3 linked regions of the Sus scrofa genome follow. The protein of the gene in region 3 interacts with the protein of the main gene of each other region in a biochemical or structural test. Links are inferred from orthologs where the notes say so. Each region holds a gene or a part of one and is shown on either strand. Other genes may lie near its edges.

What was found.
Region 1: the proteins of UBXN2B (region 3) and PPP1R7 form a complex in vitro, tested with the Homo sapiens proteins (2 studies listed by BioGRID). The link is inferred for Sus scrofa from reciprocal best matches to the Homo sapiens genes UBXN2B and PPP1R7.
Region 2: the proteins of UBXN2B (region 3) and PPP1R11 form a complex in vitro, tested with the Homo sapiens proteins (2 studies listed by BioGRID). The link is inferred for Sus scrofa from reciprocal best matches to the Homo sapiens genes UBXN2B and PPP1R11.

Annotation. Positions count from the first base shown.
Region 1 is NC_010457.5:139,916,625-139,920,896, reverse strand, and holds the start of PPP1R7 (protein phosphatase 1 regulatory subunit 7), read right to left. Parts: upstream 2,892-4,272; 5' UTR 2,859-2,891; coding exon 2,807-2,858; intron 508-2,806; exon of another isoform or gene 446-507; intron 46-445; coding exon of another isoform or gene 1-45. UniProt on the Homo sapiens protein: Regulatory subunit of protein phosphatase 1.
Region 2 is NC_010449.5:22,632,799-22,636,476, reverse strand, and holds PPP1R11 (protein phosphatase 1 regulatory subunit 11), read right to left. Parts: upstream 2,404-3,678; coding exon 2,335-2,403; intron 2,255-2,334; exon of another isoform or gene 1,727-2,254; coding exon of another isoform or gene 1,685-1,726; intron 1,223-1,684; coding exon 1,114-1,222; intron 746-1,113; coding exon 543-745; downstream 1-542. UniProt on the Homo sapiens protein: Atypical E3 ubiquitin-protein ligase which ubiquitinates TLR2 at 'Lys-754' leading to its degradation by the proteasome.
Region 3 is NC_010446.5:74,417,065-74,420,708, forward strand, and holds part of UBXN2B (UBX domain-containing protein 2B), read right to left. Parts: intron 1,488-3,644; coding exon 1,350-1,487; intron 1-1,349. UniProt on the Homo sapiens protein: Adapter protein required for Golgi and endoplasmic reticulum biogenesis. Involved in Golgi and endoplasmic reticulum maintenance during interphase and in their reassembly at the end of mitosis.

The sequences.
Region 1 (4,272 bases), on a different chromosome or scaffold from region 3:
TCCCTTCTTCGTCGCCCGACTCTTCCGACTCCACCCGCCTGTCAACTGAACCCACACACAGCCATGAGAACTCACACCCGCTTCCAGGGGCTCCTGGAAGAACATGTAAGACTGATACCCAGTTACAAATCACAAAGACGTCGCTCAAAGACGTCTGTTGAGTTCAGCGTGCTCCATGGGTGTCCCGGGCACCCTCTGAGGTGGCCGGTGGAGGGGAGACCTGGGGGCCTGGGGGGGGGCAGAGCAGGGAGGCCACAGGGTGTGGAGGTGAGTGACCACCTCTTCCTGCCCTCAAGGAACTCGTGGAGAATCGCCAGGCATTCTGAAAGCCCTGGCGCTTTGCGACTCAAGGCGCTAATGGCAACACGTGAAGCACCTCCTGTTCCGCTCGCTTCTGGCCTAGATGCCACGTAGAGGGCACTACTGTGACCCTGCTGCCACATACCTTCGTCCACGCTCCACTATCCACTTGGCCAAGAAAACCAGCCCAGTTCACAGGCCCACGTGCTGAAAGAAATCAAGACTAACTCAAATCAGACTGTGGGCAGGGGGAGCTCTATGAAAAAGGAGAAGACAGCCAGAGGTGCAAATGCCCCAGGAAGGTCACTGACGCTGAGTGTCAGGGCACCGTGATACCAGCACAGAGTTTCGGAAGGCTGATAAATAAATATTTTGTGAATGAATAAATCAGGCAACGGCTAGATGAGGCAGACTCCTAAAAAGCCTTTGGCAAGACTGTCAGATAATTTTCCTTTTTCCTAACTTTCTTTGCAGCCTCTTCCAGATGCCTGTTTGGAAGACCTGGAGCACTAACAGATGCCCTGGACTCCTCGCCCACCCTGGACGTCCACTCTCCTCTTCGACAAGAACTTAGCTACAGAGGGTGTGCTCCTTGAGGGAAAGGAAGCTCTGTTTCATCTTTGCCTCTCCTGCCGGGCCTAGCAAATCAGCACCCAGGAAAGGACTGTGGGCACGTCCTAACGAAAGCCAGCCCTCGAACCTCCCAGGCCATCCCTTCTCCCTGCCCTGACAGCTGCCTTGGATCAGCTGCTCATGACCTGGGGCCTGGGCTCCCAACTGGTCTCTCGGTGGCTTGTCTCGCTCTGTTTAATCTATTCTCCATTGCTAGAGAATGCTCTGATTCTAAAATCCAAATCTGATCTTTGACTCCAACAATTTCTGGAGTGCCAGGGCTCTTCCTGCGTTTGCATCTTGCCCGGCAGACATGGCTTTGGCGTCTTTTTTCCTTCTCCTTCTTCAGTCCCCTTGTCTGTAGAAGGAGGTGGTACAGCCCTTGCATTTCGGAGCTGCTATCAGGCACGAAACATGTGCAAGACACACGTGTAGACATTTAATAGGTTAGCTGTTAGCAGGCACAGGGCACTCTGTGGTCAAGGCTAAGGGGCAGCAAGTTCTCCTGGACGATGGTCTGGCGTGGCTGAGCCCAGGGCGGGCGGGGCTTAGCAAATGAAGGGCAGCCAAAGTGAACCTTGGGACTATCCTGAGGGGCAGGGCAAGGGACAGCAGATCAGCACACAAGGAGACTTGGGACGGGCTCAAGGTATGGGCCGTAGGAATGGGAGCGGTAGTGAACATTTGGAGACATTAAGGAGGTGATTAATCGCATGGGTGGGAGCAGGAGAGAGAGAACTGCTAGGGTTGCCATTTGCCATTTACCAAGACAAGGAAACAGGTGAAGAGGAAGCCCAGGGAGGTGGGAGGTGGGAAGAAGGGGGATGAGAAGCGGTGCTTCCTTGCCTCAAAAGATCTAAACGCCTCAAAGTCCATGACCTTTCACGTGTGCCCCCTTCCAGGACGGCTCTGGCCAGCGTCGCTGGCACCCTCCCCCACTCAATATGACTGTGCGCTCCTCCAAACGGGTCACATTCTCTCACACCCTCTTGCCCTCATCCAAGCGGCTTCCCTCACCTGAAAGGATCTATGATCTGTCCCGCAGCCTATCCACAACCTGGCTGACTTGCAGTTAGCCTTCTAGGTTCAGCGAAGAGCGGGCCTTGGTTGTGCAGCCTCCACTCCCAAGCATGCCAAGCCTTCCTGTTTTCCCCTCGGCTCCCCACCCTTCCTTCCCTAGCTAGCACCTCACACACGAGACAGCGGCTGCTCTTGGGAAAGCTGCGGACGCCCGTGTGTAAGCACCCAAAGACACCGCTGACTCTCCGGGTCGGGGTTAAGTGTGTGTAGGTAATTACATGCATACACAATACGCAAATAATTTTTTTCAACAAAGCAAAAAAGTTGAAATGTAGGTTTTTTTTGAACTATGATAGCTTTGGAAACAGAAAGCTGTCGATTCTAAAACTCGACTCTTGGCTCCTTGTCACCCCTTCCCCACAACCCACGGGCTGTCGAGGACCCTCCTCCAGCCCCGCCACGCTGACTCGGGCAGGTCCCAGGGAGCCCCGTGCCCGGTTTCATCGTCAGCTGCCGGGGGACCTGGCTCGCGAGTCAGGCTCAAGAGATCCGGTGGGAGGCTCCCTCGGGCTGGCCGACGCCGGGGCTGCGGGACCACCGCGCCCTCAGTCCCCTCCCACGCGCCCGGCTCGCCCCGCCTCTCGCCCCTGGCTCTGGGTTGGGCACTTCCCCAGCCGCCCGCTACGCCTCTGCCCGGGGTCCCCAGGTCCGGGGCCGCCCCCGCCCTGCCGGCTGGCAGATGTCAGACGGCGCGCGCTGCGGGGCCCAAGCCGCGGCCGGAAGCGCGCCGCCCCGTTTCTCTCGGGCAAGTCCGGTACGGGCCGCCGCCCCCACCCGCTGGGCCCTTCGGTCGCCGCCCCGCGAGGCCACTCACCCTCCATCATCTCCTGCGACTGTTGCTGGCCCGTGCCGCGCTCCGCCGCCATGTTCGCTGCTCTCCCCCTTTCCGGAATCTGTCGCCTCAGGCCCCTCAGCCAATCAGGGCTCCCAGCTCAGAGCTTTCCCAGCCAATGGAGTCCCACGCGCTTTGCGCGGCCCCAGAGTCTCATGGGAGTTGTAGTCCTCCTGCGAGGCCGCGCCCATCCTCAGCCCCCCCGCAGCCAGCCTCACCTCCCGGCAGGCAGCTGATTAGTGCCGGGGAGGCTCTGGAAGCGAGGAGCGGGAAAAAGGCAGGTGCAGTCGGGGCCGGACGCATGGAGCTGAGCCTGCAGGCGAGCGGGAGGAGTCTGGGAGGCGATCCGCGCTCGTGGGCTGGTGGCTGGATACGGAGGGGCGGGTCCCTGCGTGGGGCTGCAAAGTGAGGGTCAATCGAGTGCGAACCGGCCCCGCTGGGTCTCAGTGGCTGCGTCTGCACAATGGGCAGACTTTGTCCCAACGTCGCTGCGCGGAGTTGGCCCGTGTGAAGGGGCCGCTTCCAGCTAACGCACAGCTCAGTGCGCCTGTACTCGTTCCGGAGCCGGGACCTTCCGCACGCGGGGTTGGAGAGCAGGTCGGGGCCCGGGACGCCGACCCAGCCACTGCGGGCCCCACAGCGCCGTCAGTCCCCGGCCCCGCAGGCAGCATGGGCCGTGAAGGAGCCGCCTTGCGCGCCCTGCCTTCAGGCCGACGCCTGTGGGAGGCAAGCTCCGCTCTGTTCACCGCCTCAATCCTGAGGCCAGAAGCACGGCGTCCGCGGACTGCGCAGGTGGAGGCGCAGCCCCTTTGGCTCCTCCGAGGCGCCGTAGGCCTCCGGTGCGTCCCTAGCAACCGTTGTCGCGCGCGTCTCGGCTCGCTCGCTGGGTCCCGCCCACCGGCGCCAGGGGTTGGCCCGTGGGGACTGCCGTTTGGCGCCGGCCGCCCTGCCATTGGCTGGCGGGGCAGGAGGCGCGGATCGGTTCCTTCTTGGCGGGTGAAGCGAACTCGGCGGGTGACTCTCCGGCCTTCGGTGAGAAGCGTGCGCTGAGAGCCGGCCCGCGCCCCGCGCCGCCCGCCTTCCCTCCGTGCGGTCCGGCCGGCTGGAGGCCCGCTTGCCGCCTTGCGGCCGTTTGCCGCCATCCGCGCCGCGGCAGGTCCTGGGGCCACACGCCCCCCGCACTATCCTCACCCTCGGAGGGGCTGGGTGCCCTCGTCCCCGCTGGAAGGTGGGCCCCGGGAGAACGCGCGGCACGGAGCTCTTCCGCGCAGCGCGGGGTGAAAGCGTGAGCCCGCTACCTCTCTGGCCTTTGTCTTCAACCTGCTCACCCGCGCCTTTTTTTTCTTTCTGGCCGCGCGCACCGCACGCGGAAGTTCCCGGGTCAGGGGTCGAACCCGATTCCGGGCAGTGACAACGCCGCATCCTTAACTGGCTAGACCACCAGAGAG
Region 2 (3,678 bases), on a different chromosome or scaffold from region 3:
AAGAGCGCCCTGAGGTCTCTCATAAGACCTCACAATCCCACAGGCCAGGACTAAGAGTTAGCATTATGTAAAGACAGCAGTGGAAGAGCTCTAAGCCAGGGGTAACAAGCGTAGCTGGGCCGAGGTTGCCTGGAATCTGACTAGGACCCTGGCAGTGAAAGCTGGGGCTGTTGGAAACCCAGTTTAACTGTTTGGGACTCAAGTGGAGAGTGCATGGGGCCAGGATAACTGGATCCCAGGACAGGCAGTTTGGCAGTGAGAACAAAGGGAAGAGATTGGGACCAAGATGCCTGGATCCCTGGAGAGAGGAAGCTGGGTACTGGGAAGAGAAATGAGGACTCAGAGAACCCAGAAGCCTGGGCTCTGGAATAGCAGCAAGTCAGAATTCCGGGATCTCTGTCCACCCTCCTCTCCTGTTTCCTTCTATCCGGAGAGGGGAGGAAGGGGCTGGAGAAGGGATCAAACATGGGTTTAGTCCCCAAGGAGCCACATGAATACATTCAGGGCCAGACAGACACAGGAATGGTGGGGGAGAGAGGAATTTAGTGCTGCATTGGCCCTGGAGGGGGCTGGGAGGGGTCGGGAGGCTGCGGAGGGGTGGTGGGGCTTGGTCCCGGGGTTGCACGACGCCGTCCTTTGCGGTGGCCCCGTACACAGTGTGTATGACCACAGCCCTCCTCTTCCTCCTCATCACTCTCCGTGGAACTCTCGCCAAAAGCCCGAGGTTTCTCATAAATACAGCAGCCTGGATTTGAAAGGAGGAGCCCAGTTAAAAAGGAGGAAGAGTTACCTTCCAGGATCCAGCAGCCCTGGCTCACACCCTGGGACTCAAGCACCCAACTCCCTCGTCCTTTCCAGCCAGGAATCTAAAGCTCCATTTCTCCCATTTCAGATATGTCCTGACTTCAGGCCTTAGCACATCCCAGTTCAAGCCCCTCCTGACCTCCTTCCCTCTAACTCTAACCTTCTCTCCCTGACACCAGAGAATCCCCCAGACAACGACAGAATTGTGAGCACCTGCAGGCTTCAGGAAGGCCAGTGGATGTGACAAGGTAGAAGATATGCTCAGGGGAGCCAGGACTCCAGGGTTACTGTGGGCCAACAATTACTCACATTTTGATGAGCGGCGCCCCATGTGTTCGTTGTCCACAGTGTCACTCGTCCATTCTACCTTTTTCTCTGGCTTCCGTTTCCGAAGTTTGATGGTTAGGCTCCGGTTCTCCTGGAAGGTAAGAAGGATGGGCTTACCTATCGAATCCCCTCCCACTAACCTTTCCCCCTACCTCCCGGGGCGGGAGCTGGGGGGGGGGGGCTCCTCTCTTCCCTTTCCCAGCTCAGTCAGGATCATGGACCTAAGGCCAGAGGAGCTGAGGGCTGGGAGAAGATAAAATAGAACAGGTTTTGGACCTCAGGGTGTCCCTAGAGGAATCGTGACATGTTATCTCCTGTTCTTGGTAATCACTAGTATACAGAGAAGACACAATTCCTAACCTAGGGAAGGTCCCAGCAAATCTTCAAAGGAAAATATAATCCTCGCTGTTTCTCCATCTTCCTCCCCAAATCATCCTTGGTGGTATTAACACATGGAAATTATTTCCTCAGTCACCGATGCCTACTCTTTGATCTCTTTCTTTTTCCAGACCCCCTATTCTTTTTCCCATTAAAGAAAGAACTCTGTTCTCACCTGTCTCATCCTCAAGCCCAGCACTCCCCACCTCTTATCCATCTATTCTCCACCATCCTGACAGCTCCAATTACTATTACTCTAAACTCCCTTAATTCAAGGGTTATGAAGTTCCATACAATCTTTTCCCAATGAAAGCAACTTAACCTGTTTTGGCAAAAATGCTACATTTTTCTCTATTTACATCTCCGCTGGTTTCTCAAAATACTATCTTCATCTCCCTTTTCTTGTTCCCTCATTCTTTTGCTTCCTTTCGCATTCATCCCTTCAACGAATACTTATTCATAAGCATGCTTCCAGTCAAGTTCCCCTGCAGCTGGCCTCCAACCATGCTTTCTTACACAGCCCTTCATTTCCCCCAGCACCTCCCTTGCTCCGTAATCTCCAAGTTCCCGTTCTTTCTTTACTTCTACAAGCCCCCCTCCCCCAAGCAGCATCACCTACATCCTAACTCTATATATAACACGCTTCTCGACCAGCCTTCTGCACCAACTCTGACACACCAAAAATCCCCAATACCTTGCGATTCTCACAACCCCACTCCTCCCACATCCCCAGGCCCAGCCCCTCCAGCAACTCTCCAAAGCCCTATCCCTTCCCTCCCGGTAGCTCCCCGACCCCTAAACAGCACCGCCCCCCGCCTTTCTCACGGGCTCGGTTGTCACGGTAACCGTTGTCTCAGTGACGGTCTCACTCAGCCCGGCCCCTGCCTCCGCCATGGCTAAGGCTGAGGAGAGGAAGGAGGGGAGGAAGGGGGATGAGGCACCCTTCTCTCTTTTCTGTGTCTCTGAGGTCTAAGAGAATCCGTATCGGATTCAGATTAGTAGCCAGGTTCCTCCACCTTCTTTTTCCCCCTCCTCCTGGGCCTCCGCTGCCCCACCCCTGGGGATAACCTGTCCAACCCCACTTCCGGCTCTCCGCTTCCGGGTGTGACGCGTTCTGTGGTCCCCCTTTTCCCTTCCTGGCACTAAAGGCGTCAGAGCGCAGGGTCGCGGGATTAGTTCCGCCGTAATGTGACAGTGCGCAGGCGCCGCAAGGAGGCGACACGAATTTGGCGGAAGAGGCGTCCCTGAGGTGTGGGAGCAGGGGCGGGGCGATCAACGGCAAGAACCCGTTCCTGCACCGCACCACGGCGAACGGCAAGGGTAGCGATGACTTGCAGCTACAAAGTGGACGCTGTACCTGGTTTAAACATCCTGTGGCTGAGCCCCCAATCACCCCCCATAACCCCATATCCCTTGGGGTGTGTGGGAGGGCGAGGAAAACCAAGGGGCAATGACAATGCCTGTCCTCCTTTCCTTATTGTTTCGTCTGGGAACTAGAGAATGGGGACCCAGGGGCAATTGGAAACACACTTGATTAAGACTCTGGGTTTTAATCCTCGCCCTGTGACTGCAGGTGTTCGAGCAGGGCACTTAATGTCCCTTCAACTTGTATTTTTTTTTCCTGTCACTATCAGAACTTGAAGATGGAGGAGCATAAAACCCTCAAGATTCTGCCTTTTAGCTCCCGGTCTAGTGGGAAAGACTGGCATAAATACTAACAAAAATGTAAGTCACTGGACTATTAACATAAATGTAAGACTTACCTATGAAACTGAGTTACTGCCTACATTTGTCCTGGGGGGGGGGAAGATGAGTAAGATTAAGCACAGAAATGGTCATAAATTGTAATACAGACCAGTTTATGATGAGACAAAAAATATGTGCATGTTTCTCAGGGAGCAAAAGAGCGGTAAAAAGAGAACAAGAAGACAAATGAGTTTTTTAGGTAAAGAAAACAACCTACAAAGTCGTAGTTGCTTGCACGGAAGGAAACTCACTTTTGTACTGTGGGGACGTGAGGGGCGTGCCAGACAAGAACTGATGGGTGGGCATGGCCACACGGGAGGCCCTCCCTGTGTGCTTTGCTAAGAAACCGGGGCTTTACCCAGTCAGCGTTATAGACTAGGGAAAAGTTTAAAGTAGGGTAGAAACAGGAACAGGTTTTTTTTA
Region 3 (3,644 bases):
CAGAGATTGAGCCTGCAACCTCATGGATACTACTCGGATTCGTTTCCACTGTGCCATAATGGGAACGCCTAGATTTGGCACTTTTAATCTCCAGTCTGGGAACTGAGATTCCACATCAAGTGGCTGCATGATGCAGCCAAAAAAAAAAAAAAAAAGAAAAGAAAAAAAAAATCTGGGGTCAGAGTTATGAAATCAAAAGGAGGGAAGAAATAGAATGATTCAGGAGAAGCCTGACTGTGTTGGCAGTAAGGAGATGAGAGCGAAAAGTTCCAAGCAGATCTGTCCTAAAAGCCAGGTCAATTCCTGTTACTGTGCGCTCCACACATCTCAGAAGTCAGCCTCTCATCAAAGACGAAGATATAGAAAGGGAGACTTGAGATATAAGACAGGTGAAAGAACGGATACTGAATTCGTTCCTTTGCTGGGAAATGAATGAGGAAAGAGAACCTGTGTGCACAAAGCACCTGAAAAAAACCTGGAGGGGAAGGACTCGCATCGAAAGGACAAAGCGTGTACAAAAGGGACGCTGGAAGTTCAGCCACAGTTCAGCACGCCACCTGCAGTAACGTGTGGACAAAGGGATGGTCACGCTCCACCTGCACACTTTACAAGGTTCAGGAAGAGCCGAGCTGTGGCTGTTACAAGGGAGCCCACTCAGACATTCCACCATGCACGCTGGCTTTGTCTGAATCATGCTTGGCAAAGTCCCGGGGTTCTTTGGAAAATGTCTCAGAGAAAATTCCCTCTTCCTACAATCAGAGAAGTTCTATATCTGTTTCTATAACTTGAAGGAAGAGTTTGGCTGCTTAAAATATACGGCAAATAACCAATTTAAGCACACTGCTTTTGCTTTGGGAGCTCAACAGCTACCTACGGCAGAGGGATGCTTATAGCTGTGACCTAAAGTATCTACGGTTTTCAGCTCATCAACATTTCCCCTCTCTGAGCCCATGAAATCGTAATCAGAAACAGGCGGGATGATGGCTTGGTGGTAAAGAGCACAGGCTCCATAGCCTGAATGCCTGGTGTGACCCCCGCAGGCTGACCACTTACTAGCTCACCCATGGCAAACGACTGCATTACACAAGGAGTAATAAGAGGACCTATGCCGAGGAGCTGTTGTGACGATTAGAGGGTCAATGCAGGCGAACGTGCCTAGAGGGCCAGGAATGTGGTACCTGCTGTCTAAGTATTACCTGCCAACACTATCACCAGATTTGCACATCTAATTCCATCAGCAAGGTCTATACAGTTCGTATTTTAGTTTTTACTTTTAGGTGATTTTGCTTTTCTTTTCAAAGCAAATGCATATTGAACAAGACAAGTGTTTTTCTCAGCTAGGATCTTACCTTCCAAGTTTCTGTCCCTCTCCACTGAAAGCCTTGAACCTCAGCCTGGGCTTAACATACTCCTGATCCTGATGGTCCTCCATATCCAAGTTCACGTGGCCGCCACGGACCAGCCGCTGAAGCTCCAGGGGAATCTCTCTTAAAAAAGGGAAAACCACAAGGAGATCACCTCACGCCTGCCAGAATGGCTGTCATCAAGAGAACAAAATAACAAATGTTGGCGAGGATGTGGAGAAAAGGGAAGCTCCGTACACGGTTGGGGAGAATGTGAACTGGTGCAGCCACTGTGCAGAACAGTGTGGAGGTTCCTCTAAAAACTAAAACTAGAACTACCATCGGACCCAACAATTCCATACCCGGGCATATATCTGAAAAAAGCAAAAACACTAATTTGTAAAGATACATGCACCCCAATGTTCATAGCAGCATTATTTACAACTGCCAAGGTATGGCAGCAACCTGTGTCCATCCACAGAAGAGTGGATAAAGAAGAGGTGATGTTTTAAAACATAGGAAACCTCATAATATTAGACATCAAACTGAGTTCAATATAGTTTATATCCACATGAAAAAATAAAGAAGATGTGGTGTGTGTATATATATATATATAGACATACATACATACACACAACTGAATGCTACTTGGCCATAAAAAACCCAAAATTTTGCCATCTGCAGCAACGTGGATGGACTTGGAGGTCATTATGCTAACTGAAATAAGTCAAAGACAAATACCGTATGATCTGACATGTAGAATCTAAAAAACACAGCAAATTAGTGAATATAACAAAATAAGAAGCAGACTCAGGGAGTTCCCACCGTGGCGCAGCGGAAATGAATCTGAATAGGAACCATGAGGTTGCGGGCTTGATCCCTGACCTTATTTAGTGGGTTAAGGATCTGGCGTTGCCATGAGCTGTGGTGTAGATCACAGATGTGACTTGGATCTGGCGTGGCTGTGGCTGTGGTGCAGGCTGGCAGTTACAGCTCTTATTAGACCCCTAGCCTGGGAACCTCCATAGGCCAGGGGTGCAGCCCTAAAAAGACAAAAAGACCAAAAAAAAGCAGATTCAGAGATCCATTACTAGTGGGGAGCAATATGGGGGTGGCAGAGTAGGAGGTACACACTATTGGGTGTAACCTTTAAAACTGTATTAAAAAATAAGAAAGACTTTTTTAAAAAGGGAAAAAGGTTTTAGTTAACTTTTTAGAAAATAAGTCTATACAGCTGAAACTGCTATAGTTAAGTTATGAGCTTGAAAAGAGCCATTTTTGCTTCATTTACAATTTAAAAATTCCTGTGATGATTGATTAGTTCCCAGAGGTATTTTTTTTTCTTTTTTTACTACTCGATGAATTTATTATATTTATAGTTGTATTTCTTTCTTAGTGCTGCAACAGATTTCTCCTTAGTGACTCTCCACCCTGGGAGTTTTGTTGTCACGGTGAAGCTGCAGTGCTTCTGAGCGTAAGAAAGCCGAACTGCTGGGCAGCAATTTACAGCTAAGTCGGCACTAGAAACCCTGGGAGGACGTGATGGTTGATGTAGATATTTATTGCTAAGTCCCCTGGGGAGTCTAGAAGTTTGCTGGGGTGACTGACTGTCGTGCTACGTGTGAGTACTCCCCTCCTTTGGCGTCAGGACCATGGCAGGGGTTGGGGGTCCCTCTTGCCCAGTGAAGACTTGTCTCGGGTTCCACAGAAACAGAGGGCCACCGCCAGAGTCACATGGATGACAATGATGTTTATAACATCTGAGCCTAAAACCTAAGGCTCAGGCTCCACCCCACATATACGCAAAAATTGTTTTTTCCAGGAACTCATCTGCCATATAAACCCAACACTGAACTTTGTTTTGTTTGGAACCCTACCAAGTCCCTGACCGCGTGTCACTTAAAGTAATTAAGCTGCCATCTTCACACACCCCGTTATGCTGTTTCATGTTTGTCACATTTACATGAGAAGGGCCTGACTGTACACAGGTGCTAACTATTGGACTTCTCTGTTATGTTACCTGGGGTGTCACACCCGGGCGTTTATAAACTGAAGTATGTCTAATTTTATAATAAATAACCTTCCTCACTTCTTCACCATATTCAAGATAAATTTTTTTGGGAAATAAAATGCATAGATAGATTGTATTATCTGTAAAGTCTTCACTGAGGATAGTGAAGGTGGTGTTATATTTGCTATGAAAAGAGGGCAGTGATTACACAGTTGACGACCACTCTCTGATCACGATCACTTTTTCTCAAGGAGTCTTTTCTAAAACTGTCCTTGATCATAATTTGTACC